2 linked regions of the Struthio camelus genome follow. The protein of the gene in region 1 interacts with the protein of each later gene in a pairwise test. Links are inferred from orthologs where the notes say so. Each region holds a gene or a part of one and is shown in the gene's direction. Other genes may lie near its edges.

Region 1 (6,737 bases):
TTCTCTCTTTTTTTTAATATATGAGGCACACACAGATATGTGGGTGTGTATGTACATGTATATATGTATATACACACACACAAGAGAATCCATCTATAATATAGCTTAAAAAAACAGTAGAAAAGCCTGACTGCCTATGAGGCCTGAACAGATTCAGAGAATGTTCACTGAACAAGTAGGAAAGGAATTAAAATTTCACACACACAAACTCTGCAAAAAAGTAATTCACATGGAGGAAAAAAATGGAGTTATGAAGTCTCAATGTGTAATCCTGACTCCACAGAAAACTCCTTATGGGTACCAGTCAAAATCTTATCTCTGCTTCCATGATCCCATTCTAACATGGGACTTTCAGATAACACTACACATGCTCTATTAAAAAGTTTCAAAAAAGCTAGTCAGGCACACTGATCAAGGCACGCTTAAACCCAAGGTCTTTCGTTACAGATTCAAAGAGTCATCAAGGACCATTTTGCAAATAGATGACAGATACATAAAGCAAACAGTTAAGACCTCCTCTGTATTAAAGATTAACAGAGAAATAGAACACAAACCTGGAATCAAACTTGGGTGTGACAATGGAAGTACCTCCCCGAGTGCAGACATCAACAATTCTACCAGTAGCTGGAGTGATAAAGTTGTTTCTGCTTGATCTGCTAAAGAAAAAAAATCCTGCTCTGAAGAATCATTTTAACATATGTCCGAGCCCTGTCTTATCATAGCCTCAAATGAAGGGGCCACCACAGAAAAAAGTCAGAGGTTCTTACTGATTAAGGGTGAACCTCAAAGCTAGGGATAAGCTGATCCTCAGAGGAGAGGAAGTTGCCTGTCTTTCATTCACTGTCAAATCACTGATTGATTTAGTAGGCTGATGCATAGGCATGCCATGCTGTAGAAACATACTCCATTCCACTTGAGTTTTATGAGCAACACACTTACTCTCCTTTTCTGAAAGCCAGTGAAAAGGCTATCTCCTGATACCTTTTACTTATGCGTTTCACTCTTGTTGAAGGAGCTCTTCTGCTCTTGGTCACAGGCACTTTTTTGGTGGATGCCTTCACCTGAAACACATGACTCAAATCAGTTATATTATCACCAGACAGCTGAGCCCAACATGAATAAATGCTTCCACACAAAGAGTTTGACTTAATAGCTTCCTTTTTAAGGCACAAAAAGCCTGAACCAAATGCCATACAGACTTCTGTAGTCTTTCACATTTTAATATCACTCATATGTTCCCCCCCTAGCTCTGCTGTAGATTAGGAGGACACTGGACTACATGAACTTAATCTGACCCAGTACTGTCGATATATTCATTATTGCCCACAGCAAAAGCAGCAGGAACTGGCACTGGTAAAGAATTTTCACTACGGTTAGAAAAGTCTCTAGTATAGTGAGTATCACACTCTGTATACAACCATAAATACATTAGCTCAGAGGAAAGGGATGAAGAGTGAGACCCTGCAGATCTACAGAAGCAATAGAAGCAGGGATCAAGCATTTGCACAAAGCTAAGTAACTGCACTCCAAAAGCAAATGAAAAACCAAGATCCCCATCACTAGACATTCCAGGAGACAGTGGCTAGCTATTTTCAAGTCCTCTTTGAAGTGCCGTGAACACCATTATCACAGGCATCATCTCAGTGAAATAGTTTACATCTTGAGAACAGAGTCATCATAGCAGTAGCTATTTACCTTCCCAGTTCTCGGATTAATATTTTCAGCTTCTAGTTCTGCAAGAGATTGGTTATCATGTTTTGTCTTCTTTGCTTGAGGGTGTAAAGGAGACTCTGCTTCTTCTTCAATAGCTTCAATACCCTGTTTAGATTTTTCAGCTAAAAAGAGAAAGTGTTATCTAAGCTGAAAGCAATAAGTCATGAGCTAGCAGTTGGGTCAGAAAATAAACAATGATAAATATTTTCGGCAACAATTTGCTCCTGAAATCCAAATCCCAATAAGAGCAGCTGATAGAACACTATTATTTAAAGTTTTGTTCAAAAAATTAAGTAAAATTACTTCTGGTAACAGGAATAAAGGAAGAATCATTTTATTGTGTTTAAACATGTTGAAGGCTGTAAATAGGAGTTGAATTATCATTTACAGTACACAGACCATTGTAAGCTTTCATCTTATTGAACTCATCACAATCCTTAAAAGCAAACTGACCTTTCTTGATGATTTTTAAAGGAGTCTGGATAACTTCCGCTGTTAACTTGTTTATTTCTGTTATTTCCAAGTCTACCTACAATTAAAAACAGTAATGATAACATTAGAATCATCAGTACAGCATAACTGATGAGCCAAAGTCGTGGAGCAAATGCTTAATTATTCTAGAACAGAAATACATCCATATTCTTCTGTTGTGCTCAAACTGGGAGCTTTCATGTTATTCTAGAAGTGACAGCAACTTAACAGGAGTGCATAACATTCAGTACTAAGGAGTCTCATTTGGCAGCTACAAGTATCCTTCTGCCTCTTCCCTACAGCTTGGTTTTAAGATGCTTTACAGAAAAGTGCATATTCTCTCAGGGATCTAAGAGTGAAGTTAAGCAGATCAGGAAAGCTAGCAGCGCACCCTAGGCAAAGAACAGTATGGTCAGACAAAGCCTACAATAAATACAATAGATGTTTATTACCTTTAGGTCTTAACACAGTAGCTGTGAAAGTGTTTATGCAGTCTGTGTTATTGTAGCCTTTGTACAAATTCAAGAAACCCTTCTCTCCTACAGGGGCATAAAATGTCCTCAGGAAAACATAGTATTTATGTTAGACACCTACCGTTGCTGCCTCTTCTAAGACCTTTTTGCTTCCTCCTTTAGCTACAAGGAAAACATTAAAAATCAATATACATCCAGGTCAGCTTATACAATGCTTTAATACTTCACCAGAATGGTGGAAAAACACAGCACAAACAAGTTTCCTTGGCAGCAAGTGAGCAGCCTAAGGCAAGAAGAGAGGAGTGCTTCCAAGAGTACTCGCAGGCTTTTCACTCACGAGACTTAAGGCACCGTGGGATTCAGTTTTCTCTGGCACGGTTTTTCCTTCCCCCTCCCTCTAGCCTAAGGGAAGCCCCGCACCCGGCGCCCCCCCCCGTACCGAAGTAGTCGAGCCAGTTCATCTCGCGCACGGCCAGCGGCAGCCGGAGGATCTCGATGTTGTACAGGTCCTCCACCTCCTTGACCAGGCGCTCCCCGTTCGTCCGCAGCCGCTCGGCCCGGCTCTGAACTGCGGGGACGCGCACGGCCTCACGCCGCCGCCGCCACCCCCGGGCCGCCCCCCACCACCACTGCGGCCCTCCGCGGAGCCGGCCCGGGCCCCCTTCCCCGAGACCCCCCCCCCCACCGCCACCCTCCGCGGAGCCGGCCCGGGCCCCCTTCCCCGAGACCCCCCCCCCCACCGCCACCCTCCGCGGAGCCGGCCCGGGCCCCCTTCCCCGAGACCCCCCCCCCCACCGCCACCCTCCGCGGAGCCGGCCCGGGCCCCCTTCCCCGAGACCCCCCCCCACCGCCCCCCTCCGCGGAGCCGGCCCGGGCCCCCTTCCCCGAGACCCCCCCCCCCACCGCCACCCTCCGCGGAGCCGGCCCGGGCCCCCTTCCCCGAGACCCCCCCCCCCACCGCCACCCTCCGCGGAGCCGGCCCGGGCCCCCTTCCCCGAGACCCCCCCCCACCGCCCCCCTCCGCGGAGCCGGCCCGGGCCCCCTTCCCCGAGACCCCCCCCCCCACCGCCACCCTCCGCGGAGCCGGCCCGGGCCCCCTTCCCCGAGACCCCCCCCCCCACCGCCACCCTCCGCGGAGCCGGCCCGGGCCCCCTTCCCCGAGACCCCCCCCCCCACCGCCACCCTCCGCGGAGCCGGCCCGGGCCCCCTTCCCCGAGACCCCCCCCCCCACCGCCACCCTCCGCGGAGCCGGCCCGGGCCCCCTTCCCCGAGACCCCCCCCCCCACCGCCACCCTCCGCGGAGCCGGCCCGGGCCCCCTTCCCCGAGACCCCCCCCCCCACCGCCACCCTCCGCGGAGCCGGCCCGGGCCCCCTTCCCCGAGACCCCCCCCCCACCGCCACCCTCCGCGGAGCCGGCCCGGGCCCCCTTCCCCGAGACCCCCCCCCCCACCGCCACCCTCCGCGGAGCCGGCCCGGGCCCCCTTCCCCGAGACCCCCCCCCCACCGCCACCCTCCGCGGAGCCGGCCCGGGCCCCCTTCCCCGAGACCCCCCCCACCCTCCGCAGCGCCCCCCCAGGCGCCCTTCTTCCAGGCCCCCTCCCCCTGAACCCCCCCCAAGGCCCACCACCCCCCCAGGCCGCCCCCCTCCAAACCCCCTTCTCCCAGGGCCCGCCGCGCCCCCCAGGCCCCCTCCCCCTAGACTCCCCTCAGGGCCCGCCGCCCCCCCAGGCCCCCTTCTCCCAGGGCCGGCCGCGCCCCCCCCCCCAACCCGCGGGCCCCCCCCCACCCTCGCGGTCGAAGTCCTTGAGGAAAGCCGCGAGCTTCCTGCTGCGCGCGGTGGCGCCCGCCCTCCTCCGCGCGGGGGCCATGGCGGCCGGGCCGGGTCGAGCCTGGTCGGTGGCGGAGCCGGTGTCGGTGCGGCCTAGCGGAGCCCGCCCAAGGCGCGTTTAAACCCAACCGCCGCCGCGGGCGCGGCCAATCGGGGCGCGGCGCGGGCGGCGCGCTGACGCAGCACGGCGGCGGCGCGCTGACGCGGCGCTGACGCAGGGCTGAGGCGGCGGGCGGCATGGCGGCGGCGGCGGTGACGATGGCGATGGCGGCGGCGCTGCGGGCCTGCGCGGCGGCCGTGGCGCGGCAGGAGGCGGCCTGGCGGGCGGCGCTGGCCGCCTGGGCGCCGCTGCTGGGCTCGCTGGGCGGGCTGGCGGCGCAGGCGGGCGCGGCGCGGCGGCTGGCCTGGCGCGGCTCGCCGCTGGGCGCCTTCGGCGGGCTGCGGGCGCGGCTGTGGCGGAAGCAGCGCGGCGCGGCCGAGGCGGCGCTGGAGCAGCTCGGCGGGCGGCGGTGAGGCGGCGGCGGCGGCGGCGGGGGGGGCGGCGGGGGCCGGGTCGGGCCGAGCCGAGCCGAGCCGCCGCGTCCCGCGCAGGGCGGAGCTGCGCGCCGTGCGGGACGCCGTGGCGGCCGCCGTGGCCGCCGTGCTGCGGCTCTACGAGGAGCGGGCGGCGGAGCTGGGCTTGGCGGCCGCCCTGCGGCGCGGGCCGCGCTGCCCCTCGCTGGCCGAGGTGCTGGAGGGGCTGCAGGACGTGGAGCGCTACTACCGGCACCTGTATCCTTCCCCCGTGTCGCGCCCTCCGGTGCCCCCCTCCCCCGGTGCCGTCCCCCCTCGGTGTTGGTCCTTATCGGGCAGGAAGGTATCTGGAGAGCAAGCTGCTGCTCCTGCGCATCAGCTGTGACAGCCTGGCGGACATGGAGGCCCTGCCGCAGTCCTGGGAGAGGATCCTGGAGCGCTACAAGCCAGACGTCGTTCAAGGTAGTCCCCCGCGTCTTGGTGCGGCTCCGTGCTGGCGGTGGGGCCCGGCAGGTGCCCTCGCTGCACGTCCCGCTGCAGTGGGTGAGCTCGCTGCACGTGCGCTTTCTCTTTGCAATGTGCTCCGAGATCTTGCCTGTGATTTATGGGGTAAATGAAGTGGCATCATTGTGCATAGCAAAGCAGAGAGCTTGGTGCTTTCTTTTACTTGGTCTGCCACGATAACGTCGCTTAAGATTCTTTGTTATAGCTTTTAGAAATAAGTTAATTTTCTGTGGACGTACAGTACAAATAAAATGTACTAAACTAATTATTTCTTTTTTTTTTTTAGATACACTTCTTAAGATTTCTCTTTTTCTTGACAATCAGTGAAAGCTGTGCTGCTAACCAGGCTCCTGAGGGAGGACAGGAGACACTGATGTTGATCATCTCCTATAAGTATCTGGTATAAGACTTGTGATATAGCCATGAAGAGGAGGATGAGCTGAGTAAGCGTTTCTCATGTCTTTTGGAAGCTAAGTTGATACGTGGCCTAGGAAATGCTTGGGCTGTTCCATTTTCAAATGGAAATGGACTTAGTATCCAAAGAAGACAGCAGGAAGTGAGTTGTCATCTCCACCTGCAGAAGCTGGCCGTTCTCTTGTGTACCCTGGATATTTTGCATACCGAAAGAAACGTTGAGACTCATTAAGTTGCAAAGAAATGGTACCGATTGTATTTAGAAGGGTCCTGCAAATAAATAAATACATAAATAAAACATAGTGTCCTGCACTTTGATATCACGTAAGAGAGATTTTTAAGTACTGTCCTTACAAATAAATAAAAGATGCCGAATCAGGGCTTGGAAACTCTTTGTGCCTTGTGCCTCTGAGCAACGTATTTTCTTTCGTCCCATCTTCCATACAATCCCACGTCTTCCCTCAGTCATCTGTGCAGTGAAGAGGAAAGCTAATTTGGTCTGAAAATGTGTTCGTGGAGGTACACGGATAAAGCTTAGACACGTGAGGTCTAGCAAGTGCAGTTTTCAAGAGTAAGAGTGTACTTTGTAGCATTGTTAAGGGAAGTTTTGTTACTACGTGGCCTTCAGAGCTGTATGATGTTTCGATGATGATCCTAGATGAGCTTAACAATCCATTTCTTTCATATAAAGACTGAAGGACATAAACTCTTTGTAGTTGAACACGAGTTAGGTTCTGCACCCTTGTCAAATTAATCCACAATTTATCAAACATCCTTGTGTAAAGAGATGGACATAAGGCTTTCTTCTTCCTCACGGGGGC
Region 2 (6,923 bases), on another chromosome or scaffold:
TCCCTTCTTTCCCATGGCTACAAAACTCAGATTTCTTCTGTTTACTCTGCTCCTGTGCTTCACTTTCTTATCAGCATAGCTACCTGACAAGGGTCACCTTTCCCAATGACATTATTTTCTCAAAAAGAGAAATATCTGAAAAAGGCTGAGAAAGGTCAGAACTTCCCTGTCTTCATGAACAAATGCCATCACCCTGATGCTGTTATACAGAAGGTAGCTCTTACACCCATTTACTATCTTCCCCACTGTTACTAAAGAAAAAACAGATTTCATTTGATAATTTCCCACAGTAGAAGATTCTGGTCTGGGTTTCAGGGCTTTTCTCTTTAGTAGCTTCAGACAGCTCTCCCCTTGGCAACAAAGTTTCTTTCTCCTTCCCAAGCTACTAATGAGGGTGCTGAAGAGCTAACTGTAGTGCTTTATATGATTCTGCTATGCTCCAGTGCAGGAGCCTGCAGCCTATTAGAATATCAGGCATGATGATACTTAATTTGGGGGTATCTAAAGCGATTGTTTTTTGCATATAGGGGAAAAAAGATTAAGAGTATGCAGTCTGTCAAAATTGTTTGCAGGTGCTCAAAAACCTACATGAATCCCAGACAGCGATCCTATTTCCCAGCACCGCCTAATCTTGTGGGCACCTCCCCACTGAACCTGAAAGCTCCTCAGGCATTTAACTTTATTCACCTACACATGTTAAGGAGATCCTGTTTTGGGAAGACAGGCACTTGTCTCTTGCCTAAAGTTCTATTACAATCCAGCTTTAGGAAGACAGGCTTTTAAATCCCTTGGCAAAGCCTGAAAAATTAGCAGCAGTCAGAATTATGTCTTCTGGTGTGGCATACGTGCCAAATACTTAAAGCATATATCAAATTAAGCAAGCAAGTAGAATTCTAAATTTACTGTTTGAGAGGGATTGATCTAACACCATTTACGTCTTAAGCAACTGCCCTAACTATTATGCCATGATTCAGGCAAAAAGCATTAGCGACCTCTCCTACTGAATTTGAACCGCTGTGTGGTGAATGCAACAAGTTGCTTGACTTGGTCTCATCTCGAAGGGAGCAAAACTAAGGGACCAAACTCATATTCCTGAGAGAGGTGCGTTGCATAGGAAGTCGTCACAGGATAAACACTCAAAATAGGCTAGGACTCCATTTCACTCCCCTCACCATCCACCCTGTGTAAGAGAGCATTTGACTTGCTAGGCTAACCTTGGGTCCCACCCTGTCTGCTTTTACATAGCCTCTCATTCCTGGCTGCACAGGACCTTAACTACAGCAGCTGTCGTCCATGAGACCTTACAGTGGTTGATTATGCCATGCTGCTGGGAAGTTTGAGCTAAGGGTTTAATTAGAGCCTAGCAACAACATCATCCACTTCCTTTCTTACAGCTTAATGCATCTTTATGCAAAAGGTGGGTGGAAACACTATGATCACATACTGCTTCATTAGTGCCAGTCCTGCAGATGGGTTGGCGCATGTGGAGATGGAGCATGTGGAGATGGAGCATTACTAGCATTTCCAATGACTTTCCAAGAGGATATCTGTGTTCTAACCACAAGCTGGCTTTGCCCACTGGCGGCAAGAGATCACTTCACAGTCAGTGGAAAGAAGGAAGCGCCCTAAGTACCTCAGAGGAAGCAGTCATCTTCTGCAGGTCTTCAGAAGTGCCTCTTTCTATCCACCAACTGTATAGGAAAGTCAAGGTAACTAGATTACACCTTTCCTCCCTTCCAGGGGTCAAACATACAAAATTTCTTTGAGGTAGTGTCTCAGGGAGGTATCTAAAGTAGAGGGACAAGATTCCATTCCAACTACTCAGAACTTTGCAGCTAATGATTATACGGAGAAAAAAAAAACAATATGTCAATAAAAGATGAAAACTATTAAAAAAAATCAAGGAAAAGAAAATATCAATTAAAAGTAGAATGTATTATAAGAAAATTTTTGAAAAGCATTAAGCACTAAATGTTTCTTTATATTTTCCTTCCTTCTCCATTTTGCCTCCCACCAGCCTGGAGAAAAACTGACTGAGCTATAGTGTTGAAAAATTTTTTTCTCATTCTTTCTCTAAAGCTCTCTACTCATGAACCACGGAGGACTGAAAATTAGTTTTAACACCTTCAGAAAAAATAGTGGGACCAATAAAATCATAGTATTAACCAAACAGTTGTTCCCCACTTAGTCTAATTCTTTATTTCTGTCTGAAAAGGACAGAAACATATTTATTTTCATAGCTTGAATATGCATCGATTGATTTCACTATACTAGAAAACCTGACTGAGAACTTTCCTGTTTATACTCAGATCATGTAAATACACTGCAGGCAAGTAGCACAGTTTAATGTTGCAAAGGGCTTTCATTAACATTATAATTCTGAGAAAAGGCTATAAAGCAGCATAAAGGAATCAAGATTTGATTTTTCCCGAGATAAGTTGAGAAAATAATACACCTTAACTAAATGTCAGTGTTTCCTCTTTCATGTCTTTTTGTGATGCTCATTTTACCACTTCATTCTTGGTTGAGAACAATATACATTTAGAATGAATCCTTCATTGATGCAAGCAGATTTACAACATTCTGTTTATTACTTATGTATGTCTAATTTCATGCGTTAATAGAAAAAAGGGAAGAAATTCATCAGAGATGCACAATATTAACTCTGTATTTTTGTCCTAGAGAACTACACAATAAGCTTTTATTTTATGCATATGACTGAAATTAGACAGCCAATTCTGCTGAACAATCTGACTTGACAATGAAAAACTATGTTAATTAAATCTCTCCTAGACGGTAAGTTTATTTTTCAAAAGAGATTGCACTTCAAATGCATTTCTAGAGCTTTGTACGGTTGCCCATGTCATCCCCAAAGACAAAGTGTTACTTACATCAAATCGAATGTGTAGGTAATACTCTTGTGAAACTATTGTTCGTACTTCTTGCTTTGTATCGATGTTGTTACTCATCTGTATTTATGGAACAATACCAGCTCTGTGAGTGAAAAACAATGTTAAGCAGTGCATTTCCAGTAGCCTAAACCCAGTCTACCAAAAGGGTTGGTAAGTAGGATTTGCTGTTCTGACTCAAGTGCTTGGCATCTCAAAAATTAGACTGAGGGTTTAAAATTGAAAACATGAAAGTTTCAAGATGAAGCACTTGATACGCAACTGCTGTAAAGTTATGTGTTCATGAGGCTGGTATAAAATTCAGGCTCCGAATGCAGCAAGACTTCTTAAGGCTACATTGCAGCGAACCTACATTCAAAATACTCAGAACTTTTCTGCAACGGCCAAAGCTGCAACAACGGGAGAAGTTAAGTTTTCTGACGTCCAAGGCGACGCGAGCTTTGCCTGGAATACGCGCTGCCTACGGGGTTAAGCAAGAGCGGCTCGGCCGCGCCTCAGCCAAGCAAACCCGAGTCGCCCCGACGGCGGCGCGCGGTCACCGAGCCCGCCAGGGCCTTCTGCCTGTTCACGTGGCGACCGCCCAGCTGGCGGCCACCGGCGCGGCGGCCCCGCCGCCCCTCACCGCGGCTGCCGCGCCCGCTCCCCGGCGGGGCGCCTCGCCTCGGCCCGGGCGACCCGCTGCCGCTCCGGCTCCGCAAACGAGAGGCCGCCCCGGCTCGCCGACCGGCTCCCGGAAGGACTGCGCCGGCTGCCCCACCGCAGCTCCGTCAGGCAGCCGAAGCGCGGCGCAGCGCAGCACGGGCCCTGCCGCCCGGGGCAGCCGGGCCGGCCGCCGCCACCGGACCCGCGGGGGCAGCAGCTTCTCCGCCGCCGGCGCGGCGCGGCGCGGCCCTTCCCCCCCGCACATGCCCAGAAGGGCGGGAGCCGCGGCGCGGCGGTGACAGCGGCGGCGCTTCCCTTCCGCCGGGCGGGGGCTGCGCTGCGCCGCGCCCCCGCCCCCGCCCGCCCCGCCCGCAGGCGGCGGAGAGCCCCGGCCGCGGCCGCGCACGCACAGCACACGCACACCCGCGCGCGCACACACACACAACCCGCTCGCTCGCTCGCTCGCCCGCCGGGGCGCCTTGCCCGCCTCGCCTCGCCTCGCCTCTCCCCGCGCCGCCAGGGGCGGGAGGCGGCCATGTCGCTATTGTCTGCGCGAGCGGTGCCCTTGCTCAGGGTTTACTGCATCGGCCTCGGCGTCATCCTGCACCAGCTGCGCCGCCGCCTCCGCCCGCGCTGCCCCCCGGCCCCAGGTGAGCATCGCGCCCGGCGCAGCCCGGGCACGGCGGGGGGCGGGGCGGGGCGCCGGGGGCTGCCGCCGCCCTGGCCGGGGCGGCAGAAGTTTGGCGCTGCCGCTCCGCCACCCGCGGAGGGCGGCGGAGCCCTGCCGGCCCGCGACCTGGCCTGTGGGGGCCGCCGCCCGGCCGCGACCTTGGCCGCAGCCGGGCCCCCGGTCCCCAGGCCTGGGGACGCCGCCGCCGGCAGGCCGCCGAGTCACCCCCCGCCGGGCTCCTCCTCCCCGCGGGCCGCGCCGCCTCGGGGCAGGGGGCCGGGGCGGCCGCTGAGGCTGGCGGTGCGCCCCCTCCCCCTCCCCGCCCCCGCCGCCCCGGGCCCCGCCTCCCGCCCGGCGGCCGGGCCGGGCCGGGCCAAGCCGAGCCGGGCCGGGCCGGGCCGGGCCCCGCCGCCGCGGCTGCTCCGTCCGGCCCCCGGGGCCGCGGCCGCCCCGGGCGCGGGGCGGGGCGGGGCGGGGAGCCGGGCCCCGGACGGCCCTGGCTGCGCCGCCGGCCTGAGTGCGGCCTCGGGAGGCGGCGAGGGCTCCGCTCCGCGGGGGGCGGGGGTGCCTTTCTTGTGCGCTTCCCTTTCTCTCTCTCTTTCTTTTTTTATTGTTATTGTTTTATTTTCTTGACCGCTGTGCCTCAGACCCCCGGCTTAGAGACGCGGAGCCAAGTAGTGTTCCCGGGCTCAGGTAGGTGCTCGGGGCAGACGGGCTGTCAGCGCCGGTGCGCGGGGGCTCGCCGCGCCCGCCTCCCGCCCGCCGGCCCCGGGGGGTCCTGGCGGCGCCCCCGCCGCCGAGCCCGCGTCCTGCCGCCGCCCGGCCCGGCCCCCGCAGCCGCCGCCCTGGGAAGGAGCCTGTGTGCTCTCAGCGGCCAAGCTGTAACGCTGCTGTCATGAGTTGCCGGCCTCTGCGCTAGCAAGCTATCGACGTTTGTACGAGGGACTTCAGGGGAGTTGTTTGTGCGAGAAGTTAACGTTTTTGCATCTTTCTGATTTTGGTCCACAGCTTATCTGATAATAACTCTCAGTTTTTCCCATATAACTTTTATGACGGAAACTTTGAGTTTTCCAGAAAACAAAACTCTGAATTTCCTCTTTCCTGACATCAGTCTCTTAAGCTTTTAAAACGTTTGTAATTTTATAAGCTTAACAGCAAACTACAAGTCCGTACGGACATGTACAGTATCATCAGGACTCAGCAAAAAACTACATACAAGTTGGTGCCTCTGACTTTCTCTGCCTAGCTGCAAGTGTGCCTTTGTTGAACTGTTGGTAGTTAAAACAAGAGTAACAGTAAAAAAATTGGAGAGAGCATAGCATTTCAGTAAGCAGACGAGGCATCCATGTGTAACTTAGGTTGCAGAAATAATTGTTTTAGAGACTATCTGAAGCACTGAGGAGCAGAAAGAACAAGTAAGCTACAGGGTAAATGCGTATCTGCGCATTTCACCACATGTGGCCCCACTGGATAGTGGTACAGTTAAGTTTATTCATTCCTAATAATTCTGCAGCAGGTTTGGATTCTGCTTTCTCATTCTCAAAATGTAATGATAAAAAAGCAAAAACAAACAAAAGAATCCTAACAACAAAAAAGGCAGATGTGTGTACAATTTGAAGTCATCTGAGCATTTTTCTAGCATTAGTGTTTCTTGGCAGAGTAAAACTGGGTATTGTGCCTAGGGTGTGTAACACTTTCCAAATCTTTTTTAGAACTGAAGAGAAATAGCATGACAGAAGTGTGACCCAAGTATTTTGTTATATTACGTTCTTAAATATTATTTTAAAAAATGTTAAATATAGAAATGTCAGATTAGGCATAGTGAACGTACAACCTGGGAAATGTCAGCTGGGCCAAGTAGGACCAGCATAGATTTGACAGATCTGGAAAGTTTTCTTTCAGTTCTAACTCAGGCTGGTTTCTTCCAAGGACAAGTAATTTCCTCCTGGGATAGTTGTGCACAATTGCTTCTTGGCAGTTACCTTTACCTGCTGCCTTGCTTTAACTTGGTTTGTCTAGCCATTCCTTAAAAAAAGCAAGTCAGCTTGTCAGCAAGAGCATTTTTATCTAGATGAGCCTAGTTTTCATATAATAATTTCAAAATAACAGCTATATTGTGACAAAAAGTATTTCAAAAAGTGAAAGGGTTGATTAGAATATGCTTAATTAAACCTTGGATCAGTAAACTTATTGTGAAAAAAAAAAAACAAGTTACTTTTCAAGATGGTAATCTAGAAAGCTTTGAAATGCATACGTTAAAGATTCTGTATATCTTTTTGCATGGATGTCCTCTCACAATTATACACATTTTATTGTGATGATAACTGTCATAGTATCTTCCATGAGAGAAAACTTGAAAGGAAGAAATGGGACTGGGTAGTGAACTGATCCATGTCTCTGATCCAGTCTCCTTGGCCTCAATTAGATTGTCCGAGTTCCCAGTCATAATGCAGCATAGGTGCAGCTCCGTTGTGGAAGTTATAAAATAGAGACACATCTCATGCTTGAACTGTAGGCTGATGGATAAAGGCGATACGGAGATTGAGTGTGAACGTAGCCCTTCTGTCCTGAGGTATGCTGTTCATCTTCCAGGAAAAGCTTACTTTCTAACATCTACCAGAACGGTGTTCAGGATCTTCAAAAGTAAAACAAATTAGCTCCTTTTCTTTCCCCAAACTCTGACTAAGTTGTATGCTCTTGGT

What was found.
Region 2: the proteins of AIRIM (region 1) and ZBED1 interact in binary tests that used the Homo sapiens proteins (3 or more experiments, as listed by UniProt). The two-hybrid records come from large-scale screens. The link is inferred for Struthio camelus from reciprocal best matches to the Homo sapiens genes AIRIM and ZBED1.

What each region holds. Positions count from the first base shown.
Region 1 is NC_090964.1:10,953,070-10,959,806, reverse strand, and holds AIRIM (AFG2-interacting ribosome maturation factor), read left to right. Parts: upstream 1-4,749; coding exon 4,750-4,994; intron 4,995-5,076; coding exon 5,077-5,256; intron 5,257-5,341; coding exon 5,342-5,460; intron 5,461-5,788; coding exon 5,789-5,829; 3' UTR 5,830-6,214; downstream 6,215-6,737. Other genes in the region: CDCA8 (borealin), read right to left, coding at 555-656, 982-1,061, 1,696-1,835, 2,167-2,242, 2,779-2,819, 3,097-3,225, 4,444-4,525. UniProt on the Homo sapiens protein: Part of the 55LCC heterohexameric ATPase complex which is chromatin-associated and promotes replisome proteostasis to maintain replication fork progression and genome stability.
Region 2 is NC_090942.1:146,894,695-146,901,617, forward strand, and holds the start of ZBED1 (E3 SUMO-protein ligase ZBED1), read left to right. Parts: upstream 1-3,920; 5' UTR 3,921-4,086; coding exon of another isoform or gene 4,087-4,201; intron 4,202-4,709; exon of another isoform or gene 4,710-4,914; intron 4,915-6,923.